Linked DNA regions of Rhinolophus ferrumequinum. The protein of the gene in region 1 interacts with the protein of each later gene in a biochemical or structural test. Links are inferred from orthologs where the notes say so. Each region holds a gene or a part of one and is shown in the gene's direction. Other genes may lie near its edges.

What was found.
Region 2: the proteins of PTGES3 (region 1) and HSF1 form a complex in vitro, tested with the Homo sapiens proteins (2 studies listed by BioGRID). The link is inferred for Rhinolophus ferrumequinum from reciprocal best matches to the Homo sapiens genes PTGES3 and HSF1.
Region 3: the proteins of PTGES3 (region 1) and TERT form a complex in vitro, tested with the Homo sapiens proteins (2 studies listed by BioGRID). The link is inferred for Rhinolophus ferrumequinum from reciprocal best matches to the Homo sapiens genes PTGES3 and TERT.

The regions. Positions count from the first base shown.
Region 1 is NC_046293.1:55,858,976-55,866,872, reverse strand, and holds the start of PTGES3 (prostaglandin E synthase 3), read left to right. Parts: upstream 1-4,890; 5' UTR 4,891-5,366; coding exon 5,367-5,368; intron 5,369-7,897. UniProt on the Homo sapiens protein: Cytosolic prostaglandin synthase that catalyzes the oxidoreduction of prostaglandin endoperoxide H2 (PGH2) to prostaglandin E2 (PGE2).
Region 2 is NC_046297.1:73,036,420-73,043,945, forward strand, and holds the start of HSF1 (heat shock factor protein 1), read left to right. Parts: upstream 1-4,470; 5' UTR 4,471-4,649; coding exon 4,650-4,766; intron 4,767-7,526. Other genes in the region: ribosome biogenesis protein BOP1, read right to left, coding at 2,382-2,579, 4,155-4,244. UniProt on the Homo sapiens protein: Functions as a stress-inducible and DNA-binding transcription factor that plays a central role in the transcriptional activation of the heat shock response (HSR), leading to the expression of a large class of molecular chaperones, heat shock proteins (HSPs), that protect cells from cellular insult damage.
Region 3 is NC_046290.1:739,225-746,181, reverse strand, and holds the start of TERT (telomerase reverse transcriptase), read left to right. Parts: upstream 1-3,904; coding exon 3,905-4,123; intron 4,124-4,248; coding exon 4,249-5,569; intron 5,570-6,957. UniProt on the Homo sapiens protein: Telomerase is a ribonucleoprotein enzyme essential for the replication of chromosome termini in most eukaryotes. Active in progenitor and cancer cells. Inactive, or very low activity, in normal somatic cells.

The DNA.
Region 1 (7,897 bases):
TCTTATTACCATGTTTCCTGAAAGTAAGACCTAGCCGGACAATCAGCTCTAATGCATTAAATTTGGAGCAAAAATTAATATAAGACCGGGTCTTATTTTACTTATATTAATTTTTGCTCCAAAAGACATATTAGAGTTGATTGTCTGGCTAGGTCTTATTTTTGGGGAAACACAGTAGAAAACTCCCTCATAAAACTGGACTGTTCTCATCTGTTATAAACTTTTTAAAAAATTGCTCATGTCAATTTATAAAGATCTTTTTTGCTATTAGTGACTGTGTACACATTTAAATTCAGTCCTCAGAAAAATATCAGAGAGAAGGAGCATGCTACAATGATAATAGATAAGGAGTTTCTGAATTTAACAAAAAATTGGCCTGGGAATTTCTTTTCTCTTAGGAGACTGTTAGGATTAAACTTGTGAAATGGTATCTAATACTTGTCAAGTATTGTCTAATTTCTGCCAATTTGGATTGCAGAGTTCTCTCCCCAAAGCCCTGACACTATAGCTATACGAGGTATGACAAGTTTGCCAACTTGCCACCGTGCGCTTACATTGGCAGCGCTGTACAAACAGCTCGGGAAGGTTTCATAACCTTGGTGTATCAGTGTCTCACAGCTGTGTTCATGTGGACGTGTGGCGGTGTCTTGCTGAGTGGCGTTCATTATTGTTCTGTGTTTTTGTGCACCGTCACAAGAATGTCTGAGCTTGAATTAGAGCAACCAACAAACATTTTTTGTTTTACAGGACTTTATTGGGGAACAGTGTGTACTTCCAGGACTTTTTCTAAGTCAAGTTGTTGTTCTTTCAATCTTATTTGTGGAGGGTACAGCTCAGCTCCAGGTCCAGTTGCCATTGTTAGTTGCAGGGGGTCCGCCCCCAGTTGAACCAGCAACCTTGTGGTTGAGAGGACACGCTCCAACCAACTGAGCCATCTGGGAGCTCAGCGGCAGCTCAGCTCAAGGTGCCATGTTCAATCTTAGTTGCAGGGGGCGCTGCCCACCATCCCTTGTGGGAGTCGAGGAATTGAACTGGCAACCTTGTGATTGAGAGCCCACTGGCCCATGTGGGAATTTAACCAGCAGCCTTTGGCGTTAAGAGAATGGAGCTCCAACCGCCTGAGATATTGGGCTGGCCAAGAACAAACATTAAATTCCTTGTTAAACTTGGCAAGAGTGTAAGTGAAATCAGGGACATGTCCAAGTTTATGGGGATAATTCCGTGAAGGAAACGGAGGTATACAAATGGATTAAACGTTTTTCTGAGGGGAGAGAACGCCTCATTGATGAAGAGCGGTCAGGGCAGGCAATAACTAGCAGAACTAACAAAAACATTGCAAAAATTCATCAAATTGTGCACCAAAATCACTGGCTGACTGTGAAAAACATAGCAGACCAAGTAAACATTGATAGACAAATAGTATCGGCGGCCGGTTAGCTCAGTTGGTTAGAGCGTGGTGCTCTTAACAAGGTTGCTCTTTCGATCCCCACATGGGCCACTTGTGAGCTGCGCCCTCCACAACTAGACTGAAACAACTACTTGGCTTGGAGCTGATGGGTCCTGGGAAAAACACACTTAAATAAATAAAAGTTTAAAAAGAAACAGTTAGGAAAATCTTAACTGAAAATCTTGGCATGAGAAAGGTGTGTGCTAAAATGGTCCCAAAGGAGCTCACTGATGAATAAAAGCAAAGGAGAGTTGAAGTTTGCCAAGACCTTTTGGAGAGGCAAGACGATGTTTTGGGCTGTGTTATCACTGGTGATGGAACATGGGTGTACCAATACGACCCTGAAACAAAGTGTCAACGTGCACAATGGAAGTCAGACCATTCTCTGCTACCAAAAAAGTTCTGTCAGTCCAAATGAAGAATCGAAACGATGTTGCTAACCTTTTTTGATATCAGAGGGATTATTCATTATGAATTTGTACCAACTGGACAAACAGCTAACCAAGTGTACTATTTGGAAGTGCTAAAAAAATTGCGTGAAAAAGTTAGACGAAAACAACCTGAACTTTTTGCCAACAATTCATGGTTCTGCATTATGACAATGCACCAGCTCACATGGCACTGTCTGTGAGGGAGTTTTTAGCCAGTAAACAAATAACTGTATTGGATACAGTTAACCTCCCTAACTCACCTAATCTGGCCCCCAATGACTTCTTTACCTCAAGATAAAGCAAATATTGAAAGGAAGACATTTTGATGATATTCAGGATATAGGGTAATATGACAACTCTGATGGCCATTCCGGAGAGTTCCAAAATTGCTTTGAAGGGTGGACTGGGCGCTGGCATTGGTGTATAGATTCCCAAGGGGAATACTTCGAAGGTGACTGTAGTGATATTCAGCAATGAGGTATATAGCACTTTTTCTAGGATGAGTTTGCGAACTTAAGTGTCAGACCTCATACATGTTTGAATCTAGATTTGGGGCCCTACTAGAAACAGAACTTGTTAGTGAATGTGAAAAAACAAAAACAAGAACCTGGTACAACTTGGGTCCCCACCAGCTAATGGTTGTGATAACATGCAAAGCCATGGATAAACCTGATAACTACAGTATTTGTGCAACTTCTGGGTGAGTAGCCATTTCCAGAGTTACACTAACATGAACCCACTTGAAATATGCCCAACAGGGGTATACAATATGAATTCGGAAGCAACAGGTCTGAATTTTCAAAAACTTCTTTTCTGAAAGCCAGTTTTTGGGGCCCGCCCAGTGGCTCAGGCGGTTAGAGCTCCATGCTCCTAACTCCGAAGGCTGCTGGTTCGATTCTCACATGGGCCAGTGGGCTCTCAACCACAAGGTTGCCAGTTCAATTCTTCGAGTCCCGCAAGGGATGGTGGGCAGCACCCCCTGCAACTAAAATTGAACACGGCACCTTGAGCTGAGCTGCCTTTCAGATGGCTCAGTTGGTTGGAGCGCATCCTCTCAACCACAAAGTTGCCGGTTTGACTCCCACAAGGGATGTTGGGGGTGCGCCCACTGCAACTAAGATTGAGCTGAGCTGCCGCTGAGCTCCCAGATGGCTCAGTTGGTTGGAATGTGTCCTCTCAACCACAAGGTTGCCGGTTCGACTCCCGCAAGGGATGGTGGGCTGTGCCCCCTGCAACTAGCAACGGCAACTGGACCTGGAGCTAAGCTGTGCCCTCCACAACTAAGACTGAAAGGACAACAACTTGAAGCTGAACGGCACCCTCTACAACTAAGATTGAAAGGACAACCACTTGACTTGGAAAAAAAAGTCCTGGAAGTACACACTGTTCCCCAATAAAGTCCTGTTCCCTTGCCCCAATAAAATCTTTAAAAAAAAGTTTATAAAAAAAAAAATTTAAAACATGATTCTCCCACAAATATAAAATTAACGTGAGCCAGACATTTAACTTATTGACAGAACCAGTAAGATGGTAAAGCTGGTTCCAGGAGCATTTAAGGAAGTAGGTATTTATAGGCATAAAAATAAATAGAATAAGGTAATAAGTTAAAGGAAACTGTCTTACAGAGCAACAAAACCGTAACTTTGGGGTTAGCTTTTCTGTCAGTCAGAAGTCTACAACTTAACAAGTAACTTCACAATATTTGAGCTCCAATCATGTATTGAATAGCAAAGTCAAACGCAGGTATCTCCCTCCTAGAGACTAATCATTGGGCAAACAGGTTAAACCACATCCCTGTATGAACTGAAAGGTCATCCCTCTACTCCTTGCCTATTTCCATATTTTGGGTAATTTTTATTAAGGAGGCCTGTCCTAATTGTTCCAGTCAATATCGGTATCTCCTCCTTTCGACCTCTCCTCCTTTCATTCTCCCACTACTTTTTGTACTCCCATTATCCTGATTTGTGTATTTATTTCCCCTAACAGGCAGTAGGCTCCTTAGAATCACTATTTGAGAGCTGGGATTTAACTTTCCATTTTAACAGGATTTGGGCACAGGGTCCAGTTGTTCCCAATACCTGCCTTGCACAGCATAGACACTAAATCCTTTTTTAAAAAAATTTATTCTAAGTGTATTTTTCCAGGATCCATTAGCTCCAAATTAGGTAGTTATTTCAATAGAGCTGTGGAGGGCACGCAGCTCACGGGTGGCCCATGAGGGGATCAAACGCGCATCCTTAAGAGCACTGTGCTCTAACCCACCACCCAGGACACTGCTTAATGTTTAATATGAAACCCCCACTTTCTCCAAAAACGTCTTATAGCACTTTCCATAAACCTCCTTTGTATTCTACCTAGGGATGCACTGTATTTCTTCCTTACTCCATTGTTAAACGCGGCCTTCTGGAGTAGGCATGTACTGTTTTGATTCTTGGTTATTATCCTGCATTGCCCTGCACAAAGCCGCAGTGCACTTGGAGAGATCGGTTGAAAACAGATGGGGAACACTCTTCCCCAACTGATGTGCCTGGAGACACGACTGTTCTAGTCCATTCCACAAACCTTGGCTCTCCACTTAAATAATCTTCCTGTCTCACCTACAGTACTAATCTCTCGAAGCAGGGGCAAATGCTCGCCCCCCAATGGCAAACGTTCCTCCTCAAAGGCCTCAAATTTCTGTTGCCCCTGGGCAGGGTCTCCAATCTTCAGAAAAATGGCGAAGTGGACCGAGGCCCTCGAGTCTGAAGTTAGCCCTTTTTCGCAAGTATCACCAGCGAAAGGCGCTCTTTTCAAATCTTTATGCGGTGGACGTATCCTTAGTGAGCTGATGGGGTTCCCTCCACAGTAACCAATCCCCCATTTCACTTTCCAAGCCTCCCGCCTCCGTGCGTCCCTCCACCTCAACCTTCCTCCCGCTGTCAACGCATCAGTCTCCCGGGTAGGTCGCCCAACGCGCGTGGCAAGGCAGTTAGGTGGCCAACGGTTTTCTAACGCGAGAAGGGAGCGCGGGAGGAGAGGCGGGAACAAGTCAGGCCGGAGGGCGGGGGCGAAGGGCGGGGCTTGCGCCGGGAAGGATCGCGAACGAGCTGGGAGGCCCCGCCCTTTCCGTAGATATCTCTAGAAAGCCGGGCCGGAGCCTGAAAACAAAGAGTGCGCAGGCGCGGCGGCAGGGCCCGGGCATTTTGCTGCGTCACCAGCCGCCGCCCGGCCTCACCAGCCCTCGCTCGCACGCACGCACGTTCATTCTCCGTCCTCGCGTCCCTTTTCCTACACTTTCCTCTTCTCCCCGACCGGAGGAGCCGCTCTGTCCGCGCGGTGCATTCTGGGGACCCAGGTCGAACCCTCCGCCGCCCTCGTCTGAGAGAAGCGAGAAGAGGCCGCACCGGGGAGAAAACGCCGGAGTCGGCACCGGAGAGGAGTCGATTGCCCAGCAGCTGCCACCGGAGAGGCCCGCCCACCCGTTTACCCGTCCCCCTGCCCCGTTCACGATGTGAGTGCGACACCCGCCAAGGGATGGTCGCCCCAGAGGGAGGCCGAGGCCACGCTGGGGGTTGCCGGAAAGCGCCCCCTCTCCTTCCCCGCTTTCGGCCCCTCAGTTTTCTCCCCTCCGTGGTGGCAGTCGTTCTTGCCTAGGGGTGGGAGGTCCAGTATCCTTTTTCCGGTTACCGTTGGCGGGTGGAGGACATTTTTCCTCCAGATGTCCGCTTCCCCCACCTCTAAACCGTCCTTCAGCTTCCCATGCCGGAAATCCCACTTTTTTCCCCTGGGCTGTTCGGGTCGCTCCTAACTCTCCGGAACTTAGCTGTAGGCCTTAATCTCCTGTGAGCTTTTTGCCATGCGGCGCCCTGGAGGCGTGGACCGTCTTGGATTGCTACTTCGTTTCTTGGGCGTTCTGGTTCTGCCGCTCTCAGATGCCGGTCCTGGGCCAAGTGCACCTGTGGTGGGTGCTACCAGAGGCCGGTGGTGCTCCTCGTAGAGCACCACGCGGCCCTCCACCGTGAGCGACAAGGGACTGCTAGGCAACCGGAGGGAGGCCAAATCGTCACCACAACTCATTTCTCACGGGTGCCGTGATTTCGCGAGTGGGCGGGGGGCTTTCCAGGCCGCCTCCTAGCTCCGGTCTCTCGAAGAGAGTGAAGGTTGCCTAAACTCAGTCGTGTCCCTGGCAGCGAGGAGTTATACCATAGAACAGGTAGTTCTGCACGTGTCGAGTCGAAGGATAGTTGTGGACATTTTTCAGTGTTCTGTTAAACTTTGTGCGAGGTTTCATGATCCTATCTTAATTTAAGTTTGAAATAGGTATATAACTGCCTTGTTTTAAAGAACTTAAATGTGTTTACGTGGGGGTAACTACAGATTCTTTTTTTATGGTGTAGGAAAACCTTGGTGATTGTAACCGAGGAAGAATTCTTGGCACTGCCGCTTCCGCGCTTTCACATTCTCCTCAGGAAAAGTTTTTACCTTTTCAGATGTGAGAACTGCAGGTTTTATAGGTTTGGGGTTTTTTTGTTTTTTGTTTTTTAACTGCTCTCCTTTTTAACGGAGAGCAATAGAAGGGGAACAATTTTTATTCCTATAAAAAGTAATGCACTTTCAATTTCATTTAAAATAATAACTGACGGTGAGTATATTGGGCTAGAATTTTAAATGGAAAGGATACACTCTGAGTTGATGTCGGAGAACAAGCCTCTAGAAGAACACATGTATTACTGTAAAGGGGATATATTAGCATTTTGGAAGGATTTCCCCCTCTAAAAGTGGTATCTAATAGATTTTGATCTATGTAAAATAGCTTTTGTTTTTCCCTTTGAAATCTCTTCTAAACAATGTAGCAGGATTGTCAATCTTAAAATATGAGTACAAAATGAATACTCAGAGCATTACCAACTTTTAATAGACTAATGTAGCCAAATATATCTTTTCACAAAGAAATACCATATTTAGTATGGTTTGAAATAGAAGTTTTCTAGAGATCATATAAAATAAAGTAGGTAAGACACGTTATGTAAGTGGATTAAAAGTGTAACAACCAATACCAAAAGCCTTCTATGTAGTTTATAAGAATGCTACTTCAAAATGAGTGTTTTGAAGAGGCCAGATAATTTCATCCTCTTTAAAATATTCAGTATATGTCACCTTGCAAATTCTTTAGGGGATCTTACTGAACTAATAATGACTTGAATGAATTTACAAGGTGAATATTATGAGTCAGTTGCTTAGTTGCAAAAAAACATTTAATGGGTCATCCAGTCCTAGGAAGAATCTGTCTGATAATGGTCTGATAATCATTTTGTTGATGTCTGCTATAAAAATTTTTTTAGATATGGAGAGAGACATTTATGCTGGATATATTAAGGGTTTTAGGGTCTGTTTTTTCTTACTGAATTCTCTTTAGTAGCGATTTTGTAGGTAAGTTTCTTCTAATCAAATTTTTAAAGTTTTGTCTAGTAGTTTACATAAAAGCCATCAATCTCTCACCTACCTTGGAGATGGCTAGGATTTTAGGACCTCCCTTTGCCCATTTAAGACAAGCCCAGCCAAAGCCTCTGGGGGGTGGGGCGCGGGCACTACTTGTTTTTTTTTTTAAATTAGCTCTTGTTGGTTCTAATTCTAAATTGGACCATAACAATTGGACCCATAAACAATAGATACAAAGAAAATGTTTTATTAATTTTGAGCTATTTGAAGTCATTCTTTCTGGAGTCTGGTACTTAATAAATTGTCCAGAAACATACTGTGACTATTTAACATCGGTTAAAATCTTTCTTCCTTTGCCATCACTCCACTTTATAAGATTGAGACCCCAAAATAAAATCAGTCTTTAGCCTCCAAAACAGTTTGTAATAGTGAACATGTGCTAGATAGTTAATTTCTGTAAGTTAAGGAAGAGTAACTGATGATGGCCTTTGTTAAGTGTTGATTTCCTAACCACTGTAACTTGGCAACTGGATTTACTTTTTTCTTAGTTAGACTTTAACTAGAATGCAGTAGAAACTGGAATGGACAAATCACTTGAGTG
Region 2 (7,526 bases), on another chromosome or scaffold:
AACATGCAATGGCCCCCTGCTGTGAGAGGCCCTGACCCATGGAAGGCTTTCAGTAGGATAGCCATGGTCTGTCTGGGCCACCATGTCAAACACCTGGACTCCATAGATTTATGGAGTGGGGGTCCCTGAACATGACCTACGAGATACAGAACCACCAGACAGTGAAGCAAACCAACTAGATCCCACCTGTGGGGACCTCAGCCCCTGGTCGCAGGACATCTGCTACACGGGGACAGCCCTGAGGATCGCACCCAATAGGCCTTCTCCCTGCTCACTCACGCCTCAGGACCAGTCGTTGGCCTGACACCAGCCTGCAGCCTGACAGCCGGACAAAGTGCTCTTCAGACGCACGAAGGCGAGTGCTCAAGGGGGACCCGCCCACCCAGCCTTGGTAGGAAGGTCTGGCCAACGGAGTGTTGAGAAAGCAGCAACGATCTAAGTGACCGTTGGGGGCACACAGCACGAGTCAGCAGAGACCTGCAAGCATGAGCAGCCTGCTAAGAGTCAGACAGTAGCCGGAGAAATGTCTCGGGTTTCGTGCTCTCATCCCAGAAGTCAGCTCACTCTCTGGTGGCCCCAGGCCAGGGTCTCTTTTGCTTGCAAAGTAGCTCACGTTAGACCACTGAGTATCTGCAGGACCACGTGGTGGCCGTGGCCATGTGGCACAGAACCCCGGGGGCTTTCTGTCCGAGCTGGGCATGTGGCAGACACACAGAAGTGAGTGGGTCGCTACTGGCACAGGCTCGCAGAGCTCATGGTGGTAAGAAGCTGTTCGACGGAAGGGGAGCATGTGTTCAGGACCCACCCCCAGTGGCAAGAAGGTCTGGGCAGAAGTTCCATGGTGTGACATGTGACAGCCCACCAGCGTGGCAGGTAAAGGTGGGCCAGCAGAAACCCCAGAGGGCCTGTCCTCCCCCTCTGTGGCCGGAAGGTTCCACGCCAGCAAGCAGCCCTCGGCTGGCTCCAGGACAAGAGGGACAGGCCTGACCAGGGGCCACCAATATTGTGCATGACCGGGCTGTCCCAGGGGTCACTCCTGGCAGCCCGCAGAATGTGCAGGAAGCAGCGACTGGCCTGCTGGCTCAGTTTCCACCAGCGGGGCTTCGTGATGGACATGGACTCAGACGACCCCAAGAGGGCTGTGAGCGGGGCTGTGGAGGGAATGAGCAGCTCGGCCAGGTGGAGGGTGCAGACGGCCTTGAGGAGCAGGTGGAAAGGGGAGATGGGGGAGCCACCTCCGCAGTTCTGCCCGGGCCTGGAGAAGCTGGAACCCAGTCATGAAGACCGAGCTTTGGAACAGAAAGTCCTGTGACGGGCTGACTATACCCTGAGCTAGAGCACAAGCAGCCAGAGACCAGACTGGCAGGGCTGCGTCCAAGTCAGCCCTCAGGGCCTGGGTGTGAACAGGAGGGGCCACCTCACTGGTGGGAGCCCCTGCAGGAGAAGCCTGCCCCAGCACAGCTTCTGGGAAGGGAAGCGCCAGGTCCTGGCTCCAAAGGGGACACAGTTTGGCTGTGGCAGAGGGCTGCCCCCCCAGGGGGGCTCAGGCCCCAGCGCTCTGGAGAAGGGGGGCACTGCTCTCTTCTGGGCCACAAAGCACTGCAGAGCACCCAGCTGTGCACACAGGGGAAGCTCAGATGGGTGGAGGTTTATGTCTGATTTTAAATCTTCTCTTCTTAAGTAAACAGATCAAACAACATGGCCTCCTGGTTCCCATTATGGGATAGACTTCTGTACAAGTCAAGGTCTTAACTTCCAGAACACCAGAGCCAGTGAAAGTATAAAGTTATAAACTTATTTCTAGAACATACTAAGCAACAAATCTACTTCGGTTAATTAAGCTTGTCTCTCGTTTCTCTAGCTTCAGACCAGAGCAGGGTGCACCCTTCCCCATCACAGAACAGGGCCCCGGGGGTCAGGCAGGGGTGGGGGAGGTTGACTTTCCTGCTCACTGGCTCCCTCATGTGTCCCCAGGCAGTCACTTGCACATGAATCCCCACCTCAGGCTTTGCCCCTATGAAAGCCAGCCTGTGACTGAGTCTAGCAATGTGGGCTCAGTCCCATGAAGATGGGACATCATTCACTTGAGGGGAGGCCCAAGCATCACGATTTTTGGAGTTCCTGTGAACGGAGCACATAGTGTGGTTGAAAACCAGTACCCTAGAGCTCGGAGCACCCCAGCTTCAAACAAGTGTCCCAACTAGTCCCAAATGGGACCCAGTGCATTGGAAGAGGGACGAAGGCCTACGGGTTCCTAAGGGAACTTGGAGAAAGCAGTGTGGGGGCAGCTCCCCCAAAGAGCCCAAGACCTGGCAGGCACTTTCCTTCCTGGCCACCTTCATCTAGAAGGGAGAACCCCCAGGAGGTCCTGGCTCACCTACCTGCTGCTCAGTGGTCTTTTCTGTCACGCTGTGGCCCTCACCACTGCTGCTGGCCCCATCCTCTCCCTCAGCGGAGTACTCACTGCTGTCAGTTCCGGAATCTTCCAGGCCTGAGAATACACTCTCCTCACTGTCACTGTCGGAGAGGCCAGAATCGCTGCTATCCCCAAGGCTGGGAGCAGGGGCAAGGAGAGAGGGCTGCAAGAAACAGTGTCAACGTCAGCCAGACCAGACAGCTGCGCCCCAGGTCGCATGATGACCCACAGTTCTGTGTGGCCAGCCTCCAAGGCCACAGCCCTCAGGTCACAAGCCTACACCTCCATCAAAACCAGGCACCCAACTCGGGCCTTCCTCACTGTCCACCTCTGCCATCAGCGTGGGCTCCTGCCCTTGGAAGGGACATTTAACTCCAAGAATCTCACACGGGAAGGACTGTCAAGAACAATGTCCCCTTCTCAGAGCCCAGTGCCCATCGCATCACCAACACCAGCTCTCTACCATCCACGGCCCACCCTGGCATCCAAAGCCCCAGAGCTTTGAGGGCACCAGGCGGAGGCTGGTGCCAGCAGAGGACCAGAACGCCTGAGGGGCTTTTGCCACCGGAAGTAGAAGCCTTCGTATTCAACCAGGTTGAGACCGACAGTGGATGTAGTGCTTGGGTGAAGGGTGATAAAAATGAGACAAGCCTGACTTAAAAACAGGTACCACCCATTTGCCCCTCCTGGGTAGGACCAGAGCTTTTCCTGAGTAGACAACATCTCATCCCTAATTCTACAGGACACGAAACACAGTGAGCGGGTCTGTCGTTCCCTTTAAAAGCGGAACAAGAACTCACAGACTTTTCGGAAGGACAGGACTGCAGAGTCCTTGGTTTTACTGTTTTTAAATACTTGCAAGTCTCACCTAATTGGACAGCCTGCACAGAACAGTCGTTCTGTAGCACTCGACTTAGTTTTCACAGAAGTGACTCTGATACACAGGCACTCAGCTGCTTATCTCTAACATTTACTTAGCTACGCAATTACAGCAGCAAGTGAAAACAGCGTCAATGGTTTGGCACCAAGCGGGAACTGCTCCTGCTGAGTACAGAGCCAAGGGGCGCGAGCAGCCCAGAGCCACCTGCTGGGGCCGGGTGCAGCAGGAGGACATGTCACAAAGTGAAGGGCAGCTTGATCACCCAGCTAAATGGAGTCAGCTGAGACGGTCCCCTGTACACGCCTCCTACAACACAGATTTGGTGACACCCCCAACAACGGAGCTGGGGGTTCAGCCAGACAGCATTAGCAGCCATGGGTCCAGCTAAAACTACGTCAGATGCCGCCGGCACTGCGTTCTAGTCACGCGTCCTCATTCTCGAATCCTCTTTTATTTTCACAACGTAGCTAACATGTAAGTGGTGTATAAACATGTATGTGTTTACTGCGAGTATAAGCTAGTCTTTCTCATGGGAGAATGCATAAATCAAAGGGTTTGAGGGGCTGCTGCACAGGGTACCAGCTCCCCTTCCTATTTCTCCCTCGCTCAGACAGTTAGTCCACCGCACAGATCCGCCCCACGCCCATTCCAGCCGCCCTCTGCGCAGGGGGTGCTTTCCGCGTAGGCCCCCTCAGGGCCACCTCCAGCACAGGGCAGGCGCCCGTTCTTCCTCGCGTCCCCAGGCCCGCTGCACGCTGGGTCGGCCTCACGCCCTCAGCCACCACGTGTGACCCGCGCCGCGCGGCCCCAGATCGCGCCGCCCCACTCCCTCTACCGTCCCGCGCAGCCCGCTGTCACCTCCTCCGGCTGTGGCTCCGGCTCCGGAGGCCGCTTCTCCGACCGCGATCCCGCCGCCGCCTCGCGCGCAGCGCCCCGCGCGCCCGCCATGCTTCCCCGCGGGTTCCGACCTGCGCCGCCACTTCCGGCAGCGACCTGGCGCGTGGGCTGGAGGGCGGGGCCCGCGGGGTCAGAGGGCGCGGCCGGCCAGCCCCGCGAGGCCTGATTGGTGAGGCAGGGCAGGGCAGACACGCGCAGGCGCACGGAGGCCGGGGCGGGGCCGGGGCCCGAAAGCCAGGGCGGGGCCGGCGTGCGCGCGTACTGGGGACGCGGGCGGGCGGCGCCGGCGGGAGCGCGCGCGTCGCAAGATGGCGGCGGCCATGCTAGGCCCCGGAGTTGTGTGTGCGCAGCGGGCGGCGGCAGCGCGGCCCGGGCTGCAGACCCTGCGGCGGCGCTAGCCCGGCCTTCGGCGTCTTTTCGCGGTCGGTACTTCCACCTCTCCCTGCCTTGCCCGTTATGGATCTACCCGTGGGCCCCGGTGCGGCGGGGCCCAGCAACGTCCCGGCCTTCCTGACCAAGCTGTGGACCCTCGTGAGCGACCCGGACACCGACGCGCTTATCTGCTGGAGCCCGGTGAGGGGTGGGGCGCGTCGCCGGGCGGGGGCTGGGCCGGCTCCCAACCTCGCCTGCCCGAGTAGGGGCGGGGAGCCCAGCCGGAGGAGAAGCGTCCGTGGCCCGCTTCTCGCCGGCTCCTGCCCGCGCCAAGTTTCCCTGGGGTGGAGAGAAAGGGCCTCTCCATCTTTGGGCTTTTGCTAATTGTGGAACAACTGCGGAGGTGTGTCTGTCCTCTGAACAGCACACGGTTTCGTTAGCGAACGTCGTGTCCAGGTGCCTTTCTATATCTTCTCAGGTAGTTACCAGGGTGGCGTGGTAGGCAGCTCCTCCGAAAATATCAGGACTGGGCGCATGAGCCGGAGGGCGTTGCTCGAGTGCAGAAGGAGAAAGCAGAAAGTAAAACGTCCTAAAGTTCAGGTTGATCTCGAACCCGTGTCCAGATGCCAGAGCTGGGGTTCCCGAGAGCTGCTTTGTTTTACATTCCTCACAGGGCGTCTTTATTCACGTCTCTGTCCAGTTGCTTGGCAGCAGGCTTGTTTACATAGTCTGACTGCGAGACTGGACAGCTCTGGTTTGTAGAAGTAAATCAGAGACTGTGTCTGGACTTGGAGATGAGAGTGCTGTTTACATCCTGCTGTGACGTGGGGTCGGGGCAAGGCCAGAGCCATAGTCCATGGGAAAGGCGGTCCTGGTGGTACAAAGCCTTTGGTCACCTCCACACATGCTTGACCTACTGAGGGCCAAAACGTGTGTGCCCAGCAAGTAGGGCGGGGTTTCTCAGACTTCTATGGCTGTCCTTCCCATACTGTTAAGTCATTAGGAATGAGGAAAAGTCTGGATGGAACCTAGCCCTTAGCTGGAGGCCAGTTTCTCATTCTTGGGCTGTTTGCTGAAGCTCTGCCCTGCCTGTAGAGTGGTTCGGAGTAAAGAGACTGGAAGTCATGCAGCGTTCCTGTTGGAGATACTTTTTTGTTGGTCACAGTGACAGCTTTGTGTGTGTTCTCCATCCTCCGGTGCGTATTTATTTAATGGCCAGTCGAGTCCCAAAGAAGGGCAGGCTGCTTTCTCATGGGCTGTCACGTGACCACCATCCCCTTGTTTGAGACCTCAAACTTTCCTGACCAAAACAAGCCACTCTCCATTTCTTATATCCTGCCATTCTCTTTTTCCTTCCCCTTAATTCTCAGGGAACACTCTTAACCCAGCTTGGGGAGGGGCGTCAGAGATCCTCTGGGATATTCCAAGCTTAATCCTGCTAGGATGATCCGTCCTGCCCCTTGATCTCAAAGATTGTGAGGTGTGTATGTGTAGAACTGCCAGCATATTCTCCAGGACCTGCAGCCGTGTTCTGGGCAAAGCCTTTGTTTGGAACAGGAAAGTCAGATACGATCAGGCCTGTGACAGCTGCCCCTCGCAGTGGCCACACCGCCCGTGAGGCCTGTTGGCCAGCTCTCCACAGGGGTGAGCGGCTGATACTGAGTGTCACTCCTACCTGGTTTGTTGGCAAGTCGGGCAGGGTGTGCTGGGTGCAGGACACTGGGGAGCTCTAGCTCAAGAGCAGAAGGAAGCCCTTTTCTGGGCTGCACAGGGGCTGTGGAGCTACTGGGCCAGAGAAGGAGGTGGTCCTGTGTCTGTGGCCTTAAGGACGCCCACACAGGCCTTGCGGCCTCTGTCAGGGGTCCACCCTGGGTCTTGGGCAGACTCACGGCCCAGAGTCTGGCTCTGAGTCTGTGGGAGGCTCCGACGTCCATGCTCACAGTGCTTTCCCCTTAGTGCTGGAAGTTTTCTCACCACTCTGTTAGGAGAAACCATCTGCCTTTGCCCCAGAGGACGAGGGAAAGTTAGAGGCTGACTCTCCAGGTTGAGTAACCAGCGGTGGAGGGGCGCTTCCAGCTGCAGAAACTGGCCTGTGGGGCCAGGTGCGGACAGCATTGTGTGTCCTCTGCCCAGCATGAGGGACAGACCAACAGGTCGCTGCCCCAAATCCTGGTGCAATTACAGACGCACACTGTGTGGGGCTTTTAGATTCGCAGCTGCTCCCCAAACAGATCCTGCAGGACACTGCCGCTGGCGCCCTAGGAGGGTGTTTGGTGACCTCAAACGTGGCCCAGGATGGGCCACAGCTCTCCCAACCTGCAGTCTGTGCTGTCCCCCTCCTCTGCAAGCCCACCCAGGTGTTCTGTGAATCAGCCCTTCTAGTCTGGGGCTCCGGGCTGTGTAAGTAAGGAGCACTTCTCGTTTAGTCCACCTGTACTTGGAGGCCCTGCTTCAGTGTTGGCGCCTGATGTCTGCCTGGCCTCACCCCGCTCCCACACTGGCCGGTGCAGTTCTCTCCTCTTTGGAAGCAGGAACAACCCTAATGGGGTTGTGTGGAGGCTGGGGGAAATCCCAGAAACCTAGCAGCTGGAGGTCGCCAAGGCCAGGGCCCATGCCAGGTGGCCCGTGAGTGCCAGTAGTCAGAGGGTCACTTGAGGGTCTGGGGCAGAACAGTTCCTGAGGTTAGGTCACCAGCTCCCCATGAGACCACTCGAGGAATTGGCCTGGCCATACCTGGGCACTCAGAGCTGGCCATAGACTGTTGTCAGAGCTCCTCTGACAGGCGGGCACCACACTCCTCCCAGGCTCAGAGCGGGTGGGCCGGCAAGCCCCCTGAGTTTGTTCTCACCAAGCCAGCTGGGCGGGACCCAGCAGGCCCTGTGGGTTGACCCAGAATGCTGAGGGATCATCCCAGGTTACCCCAGCAGCAGACCGAGGTGCGCTGCAGGGCCTGGTGCTCCC
Region 3 (6,957 bases), on another chromosome or scaffold:
CCAGCACATGGCTGGGCCTGGACGCGGACTCCACAAAGGGAGCTATTTAAGGGCTTAAATCTGTAAGTAAATTCCACCTTCCAGCATCCCAGCGGCTAATTTTATCTTACTGCTTTCTTAAATTCCATCCAATGCCTTTCAACAGTGCGGAAACCCAAAGGTGTACCGTGGGAGCTGACTGTTTGCCAAGGTGCAGGAGTCAACACCAGCCCTCAGCGGTTCTGAGCCCTGAGCACTTCTTACTGGTTTTCTTAAGGCGGTTTAAGGTGCAAGAGAAAGTACACGAGGAGATGGAAGTGGGTCAGGAAGGATTAACGCGGTGAGGCGGCTAAGGCCAGGAGATCAAAGGTCTCCTCTGGCTAAGGAAGTGGGAAAACAGGACAGTGTTCCCGGGAGCTGCCAAGCTGGGCACAGCCAAGGCGTCCGAGCTCCCATGGACCCTCGTGAACCGGTGGGGCCATGTCCCCTGAAGTCCCACCCTGTCCTAGCTGGGCCATTTCCCTGATGCTAGCCGGCTGCACTGAGGGAACGCTGGCCGTGGACATGGAGACCCTGGGTTTGTGTTCCGGCTCTGCCCCAAATTGTCAGGGATTTTCAGGAAGTCTGCACCTCTGAACCTGTAAGAAAGGATGCTGACAGTTGTCCACCTGCTTCCAAGGGCTGCACGGTGATATGAGCTGATGTGCCAAAAATGATGTGTGAATTGTAAAGCGCTCTATAAAGGAAGACCATTAGTCATGTTATTTACCTTTACCACTAAGAATTAAACGTTCCAGTAACCTCTTCTGCGTGACAAATCACGAGAAAACAGGCACAGCAACCACTGTTTTATTACTGTTTTATTGTGCTCACAGAGACCCGTCCAGACCCCCGACTGAAGACGAGATGGGGGTTGCTGTGAGCCTCGGTTGGGGTAACAACAGCAGCTGGCACAATCGGTTCTTGGATTCAGGGGACCTGGGAGACAGGACTGAGGGGTGCAGAGGTCCTGTAGTGCAGCCCCCACCGCGACCCAGGACCCTGGCTGTGTGGCCACACTGCTGTCCTCTGCTCTGTTCCCCTCCCAGCAGGTCCCCTGGCTCCTCTACCACTTTGCCTCTCCAGAAAACACTTTCTAAACCCGCCCACCACTGTCCCCTCTTCACTCCAAATCTAGTTCCAAGGACATTGTCTGTCTTTCTACATTGCCAACATTCTTTGAGCTGGAACCTGCCTTGTGCCTGGAGTGCCATCTGGGCCCCTCCTGGGCCCCCCACCCGTCCCCAGGTTGTCAGGCCTCAGGACCATGTGACAGTTCATCTGGTTTTCACCCCTATCAGAGGGGCTACGGTAAGAACTAGTGACATCGCCAAATGCAGGCGAGGACACACAAGTCTGCACAGGTGATCAAATGACAGCAAATTGGCCACACACTGTACCAGGGCCAGCGTTCTGGCTCTGGTTTACTGTTGCCTGAGTTATGGGAGACTAAGCATGGGTGCCGGAGAGGACAGGAGACAGAGCCCGTTCTCTCTGCCACGTGGGTGTCCTGGGCTCCATAACGCTCCCCAGATGCCACATCCTGGTCCTGTAGCCTTCCAGCGTGACGTCCCCCAGCACAAGGGACTTTGCGGATGGCAGAATATGGTGGGCTCTGAGGTGGGGAGGTGCCATGGATCAGCCTGTGGTCCCTGTGAGAGGGAGGCAGCAGGTCAGGGTCGGGACGAGATGTGACAAAAGCTCGGAGGAGGCGGCGCTGAGTGAGGCTCTTCCAGTGTCCGGTCCTCACGCCCTCACTGGGTCTGGGGTCACGCGGCCCTGCCCTTCTGCAGGCAAAGGGTCTGTTGACCAGGTCTGGTGTTTATACTGCTTGTGGTCACCACTCAGAGACCTGGCACTGTGCTCGTTTGGCTGCCATCCAGACCCTCTTTGCCCTGATTCTGCAATCCGGCATCTTCAGGCCTCATCCAGCTGCAGATCTGAGACTTGAGCCCTATGGGTGGGGCACGCACCGGGCAGGACGCATGCCACGCGATGGGCATACACAGTACCAGAGCACCTCACTGCAGCCTGTCCCCACACACAGGCCCCCACCGTGCTTTGGCTCCTGGCACAGAATCCGCTGTTTAGAAACTTCAGGGTGTGTGAAGCCCGTACACTGCCTTGCGGAAGATTTCGAAGGGGCTTGCTGGTTGTATTTGATCTTAAACAACAACGCAGCTTTTTTCACGTCATATGATGCAAGGACGTAAGGCCGTCCCTCACTTCTCAGAGACAAACCCGCAGACCCTGCAATACGGAAGGGCACTCTGGATGGGAGCGAGTTCCATCAAACTGGGGGCTTTTCTCACATGCACATGGTACTAACCACACGCCTGTCAGTTTCTGTCTCAGTTTATTCTCTTCTTTTTTTGATTATGTTTTCAGGCTGGTTTCTCCGGGTGAACCAGAGCAACTTCAAAAAGAACAAATATCCTGAAGCAGCCCCAAATCCTCTAGCGGCAGAAGCGAGGAAGTGCTCTCGCTCTGTGGGCTCTGGAAGAGCAGAGCCCATCATCCCCAGGATTACCAGGTGGGCAGACCCCACAGAGCTCCACGAACCTGAATCATCATCTGTCTGTCAAGGGAGGGAAAGCGGAGGCCTGTTTAAATGCTACGGCCATGAATAGAAGCAATTTCCTGACCACGTTTCTCACCACTGTGAAAGGTTAACATTTGTTCAGCCGTGCAGTGTTTGCCAAACTCAGACGTCTCCTCCACGAGCCTCCCCAGACCTGGAAGTTTCCCCTCTCAGCGATTCAAAGTTGAACATCCCACAGCATCTGCATTTGGGTGGAATCTCATTAGGGTGACTCCTCTGAACTGTCTTGTTCACACGACCAGCCGCTATCACAACTGTCCCCCTGAGCCTGGGGAGGGTCTCTGCTGCGTGGTGGGTAGCCAGGGGCTCCTGGTTCTTTCTGGGGCTGCCAGGTTGTAGGCAGGTCCCCGATGTGTCCACTCTCACCTTCCACCCACGGCATGGAGGGCATGAAGGGACCATGACAAGTGTGAGGAGCCTGCAGATGGTGCCAGGCAGGGCACCTGTGGCTCCACTTTCTCCCCTCCCACTGGCAGACTGACCAGATCCTGACGAACAGGAAATTGATGTGAAATTTTTTGTTTATGGTCGGGACAAAAGAAATCTAAAAAGCCAAAGAAAAACTACAGCCCTGGGTCAAGCAGACCTAGTCCCGCGGGGCGACTGCCCTGCCGGCGACCACTACCCATTTCCTGCTCCCAGCACCGGGACGAGCTCCAGGAGCTCCAGGAGTCCAATGAGGATGCGCCTGGGCCCTCCATTTCCCCAGGCCCATCTGGCCAGAGTGCTGGCGTCCATTCTCTCCTTTGTACACTGTCCTGCTTCTTTCAAACCCCTCTGCTGGACCCCAACGCAACCCTCTGTGCCAGGGTCACGGCCCACGTGAGAAAGTGACAAACCAGAAGGACCCTTTCCCCAGGGGGCGAAGAGTGCATCAGGTCCCCCGGGCCCTCCGCCCACCCCCGGTTATGGTCCCCTTCCTTGGGTACCCCCAGAGCCTCTCCAATGTGCCACCCTCGCTGCGAGCCCTGCACCCTGGGAGGGGTCTCAGCACACGGATGGGGAGGCTGCCCGGTGCAGCTGCGCGGTGAGGACACGCCGTGTCCATGTTGAAATCCGGCACCAACACCTGGGACCTGCCAACCGGGTGGGGAGGGAAGGTAAAGCGCTGAACACCTATAGCCCGCGACCCCGCCCCTTCCTCCCCCAGCCCCGCCCCTCCCCGCGGACCCCGTCAGCCCCGCCCCTTCCTCCACGTGCACCGCCCTCCGCCGGGACCCCTACTCGCCGCGTGGCTCTGGCGCCTGTGGTCCCCGCACGTGGGAGCCCCGCCCGCCTCCCGCGATGCCGCGAGCGCCCCGGTGCCGCGCCGTGCGCGCCCTGCTGCGGAGCCGCTACCGCGAGGTGCTGCCGCTGGCCACGTTCGCGAGGCGCCTGGGGCCCGAGGGCCGGCGTCTCGTGCAGCGCGGGGACCCGGCCGCCTTCCGCTCGTTGGTGGCCCAGTGCCTAGTGTGCGTGCCCTGGGACGCGCAGCCGCCTCCAGCCGCCCCGGACTTCCGCCAGGTGGGCTGCCCGGGTACCGGTGGGGCCTGCGGGGTGGGGGTCGGGCCGTGGGGAACGAGGCCGGACGCGGCTGCGCACCGGATCCCGGACACTTCCGTCCCCAGTGACTTGGGACCCCCCCCCAGGTGTCCTCCCTGAAGGAGCTGGTGGCCAGGGTCGTGCAGAGGCTCTGCGAGCGCGGCGCGAGGAACGTGCTGGCCTTCGGCTTCGCGCTGCTGGACGGGTTCCGCGGCGGCCCGCCCGTGGCCTTCACGACCAACGTGCACAGCTACGTGCCCAACACAGTGACCGACACGCTGCGCGGCAGCGGCGCGTGGGGGCTGCTGCTGCGCCGCCTGGGCGACGACGTGCTCACCCACCTGCTGGCACGCTGCGCGCTCTACGTGCTGGTGGCCCCGAGCTGCGCCTACCAGGTGTGCGGGCCGCCGCTCTACGACCTGTTCACCACGCGACACGCGGGCCTCGAACCAATACGCCGGGCCTGGACCGGCGGCGGCAGGGAGGCCGGGAGACAACGGGGCCTGCAAGCCCCCGGCGCTAGGCGGCGTCCGGCCAGCGTGGAGGAAAGTCCGCCTCAGGCCAAGAGGCCCAGGCGCGGCCCGGTCCCCGTCCCGCAGCCGAAACCAGACCGAGGACCTGACCGGCAGGCGCCCCGGGCCCACCTGGGCAGGGCGCGTGGGCCGGGTGACCGAGAGCCCAGCGCCGTGACACCTACCAGAGTCGCCGTGGAAGCCGCGTCTGGGGAGAGCGAGCCGCGCAGGACCGGTCGGCCCTTCCCACTGCTCCGAGGCGAGCGAGAAGCCAGCTGCCCATCCTCTGGGCGGTCGCGTCCCCAGGAAGCGCTCGGTCCCCGAGCGTTCGCTGATACCAAGCATTTCCTCTACTGCTCCGGTGGTGGAGAACGCCTGCGCTCCTCCTTCCTGCTCAGCTCCCTGCGGCCCAGCCTGGCGGGGGCCCGGAGGCTTGTGGAGACCATCTTTCTGGACTCCAGGCCCCTGCAGCCGGGGGCTCCCCGCAGGACGCGCCGCCTGCCCGCGCGCTACTGGCAGATGAGGCCCCTGTTCCGGGAGCTGCTTGCCAACCATGCGCGGTGCCCCTACGGCAGGCTCCTCAGGACACACTGCCCGCTGCGGGACACCCCAGTGGGGTCCGGAGACCAGGGGCACAGTGGAGCGGGCGCCTGCGGCCCGGAGGAGGACGCGGGCCCGCGGCGCCTGGTCCAGCTGCTCCGCCAACACAGCAGCCCCTGGCACGTGTATGGGCTCCTGCGGGCCTGTCTTCGCCGCCTGGTGCCCGCAGGCCTCTGGGGCTCCAGGCACAATGAGCGCCGCTTCTTGAAGAACGTGAAGAAGTTCGTTTCTCTGGGGAAGCATGCCAAGCTCTCGCTGCAGGAGCTGACCTGGAAGATGAAAGTGCAGGACTGCGCCTGGCTGTGCCAGAAACCAGGTGAGGAGGCGGGTGGCTGGCGCCGCAGCCCCCGGCCCCACAGCCCCGCAGCAGGGGTGCCGCGGGGTGGCTCCCTCCCAGTCTCTGCCTCTGAGCCGCTCTCCCACCCCGTTTGCATCAGCCTGCTTTCATGCACTCAGGCAGGTTGTGGGAGCTGGAGGTGGGCAGTGCGTGGACGGACTTGGGGAGTGGGCTGTGGCAACAGGATGGACGCGCGGGTGGACGCGGGGCTCGCTCTCGTGAGCATGCCTGAACATCGTCCATAGCCCCTGACTTCAAGGTTTATCACCACGAAGTGGTCCCCACTGACAGAAATGGAGGTTGGGGCGAAACCCTCTTTTGTGGGCGTGGGAGATAAAGCTCCTGGCTTTGGGACAGCATTCGGTCAGCCCACACACAGATCCGAATTTAAGTTTAATCAAGCCTCTGCTGTGCCAGGGTGGACGGCCGAGTGGAAAGGCTGCCCTGCTCCAGGGCCCCAGCCATCTTTAGGAGGGAGAGGGTCACCAGGGAGCAGAGGGAGCCGCGGGGCGCCGTCCCGTGTCAAGGAGTGGGCTGCCACCGTGGGTGCCTGCAGGACGTTTTCTGTGAAGTTGGCTTTTGGTGCTCCCCACCCCCACCCATTTGCTTTTTCTGGGCTTGGTGATGAGGTTCCTCCAGTCCAGCCACCACTCAGCCCCCTCGGCGGCGTCCTCGTCTGCGCACCAGCGCCAGGGTGGAAGGACCAGCCACCCTCCCAGCTCCCCCCACTGGAGCAGTGGCGAGGACAGACCTGCGTTTTGCCATTTGACCTCCCTCAACTCCTGAGACGCTTACAGAAGAAAGATGGTTCAGAGCCCTTTGCTACAGCCGGGCGTGGCTGCACGGCAAGGCTCCCGGGATCGGGACCCTAAAATGCCCATCCCCACAAGATCCCCACGCGGCAGTGTCCTCTGGCAGCAGTGGGGGGAGGGGAGGGGGGCAGCACACCCTTTCAGGCTCCCAAGAGACGCCAGGGCCAGGTGAGGGGGACAGCAAGGTGACCTTCGGCAACTTGGTGTTTTTGTTTTAATGGTGGGGGGATAAAACCCACCGTGAGAGCTCCCCCTTAACCACGTTGGTGTGTGTGTGTGTACAGGACGACACTGCTAAGTGACAGCACAGGTGACCCTCGGGTGTGTGAGCCTCAGTCGAGTCAGCAGTTATGCGACTCGCTTTATCCTGCAGCTCGGCTGCAGCTGTGTTCCCCGGTTTCAGGCAGTGTTAGCCCAGGCGGCTGGGACCCAGGCGCTGGACCTCTGGTGCCCTCGGTCACTTGTACCCCAGACATCTGCTGCTTCCGTGGCTTCAGCCATGCCCGTTGCCCCCTGGCTGAAAAATGATGCATGCGTGCGACAGCCTCATCCTCG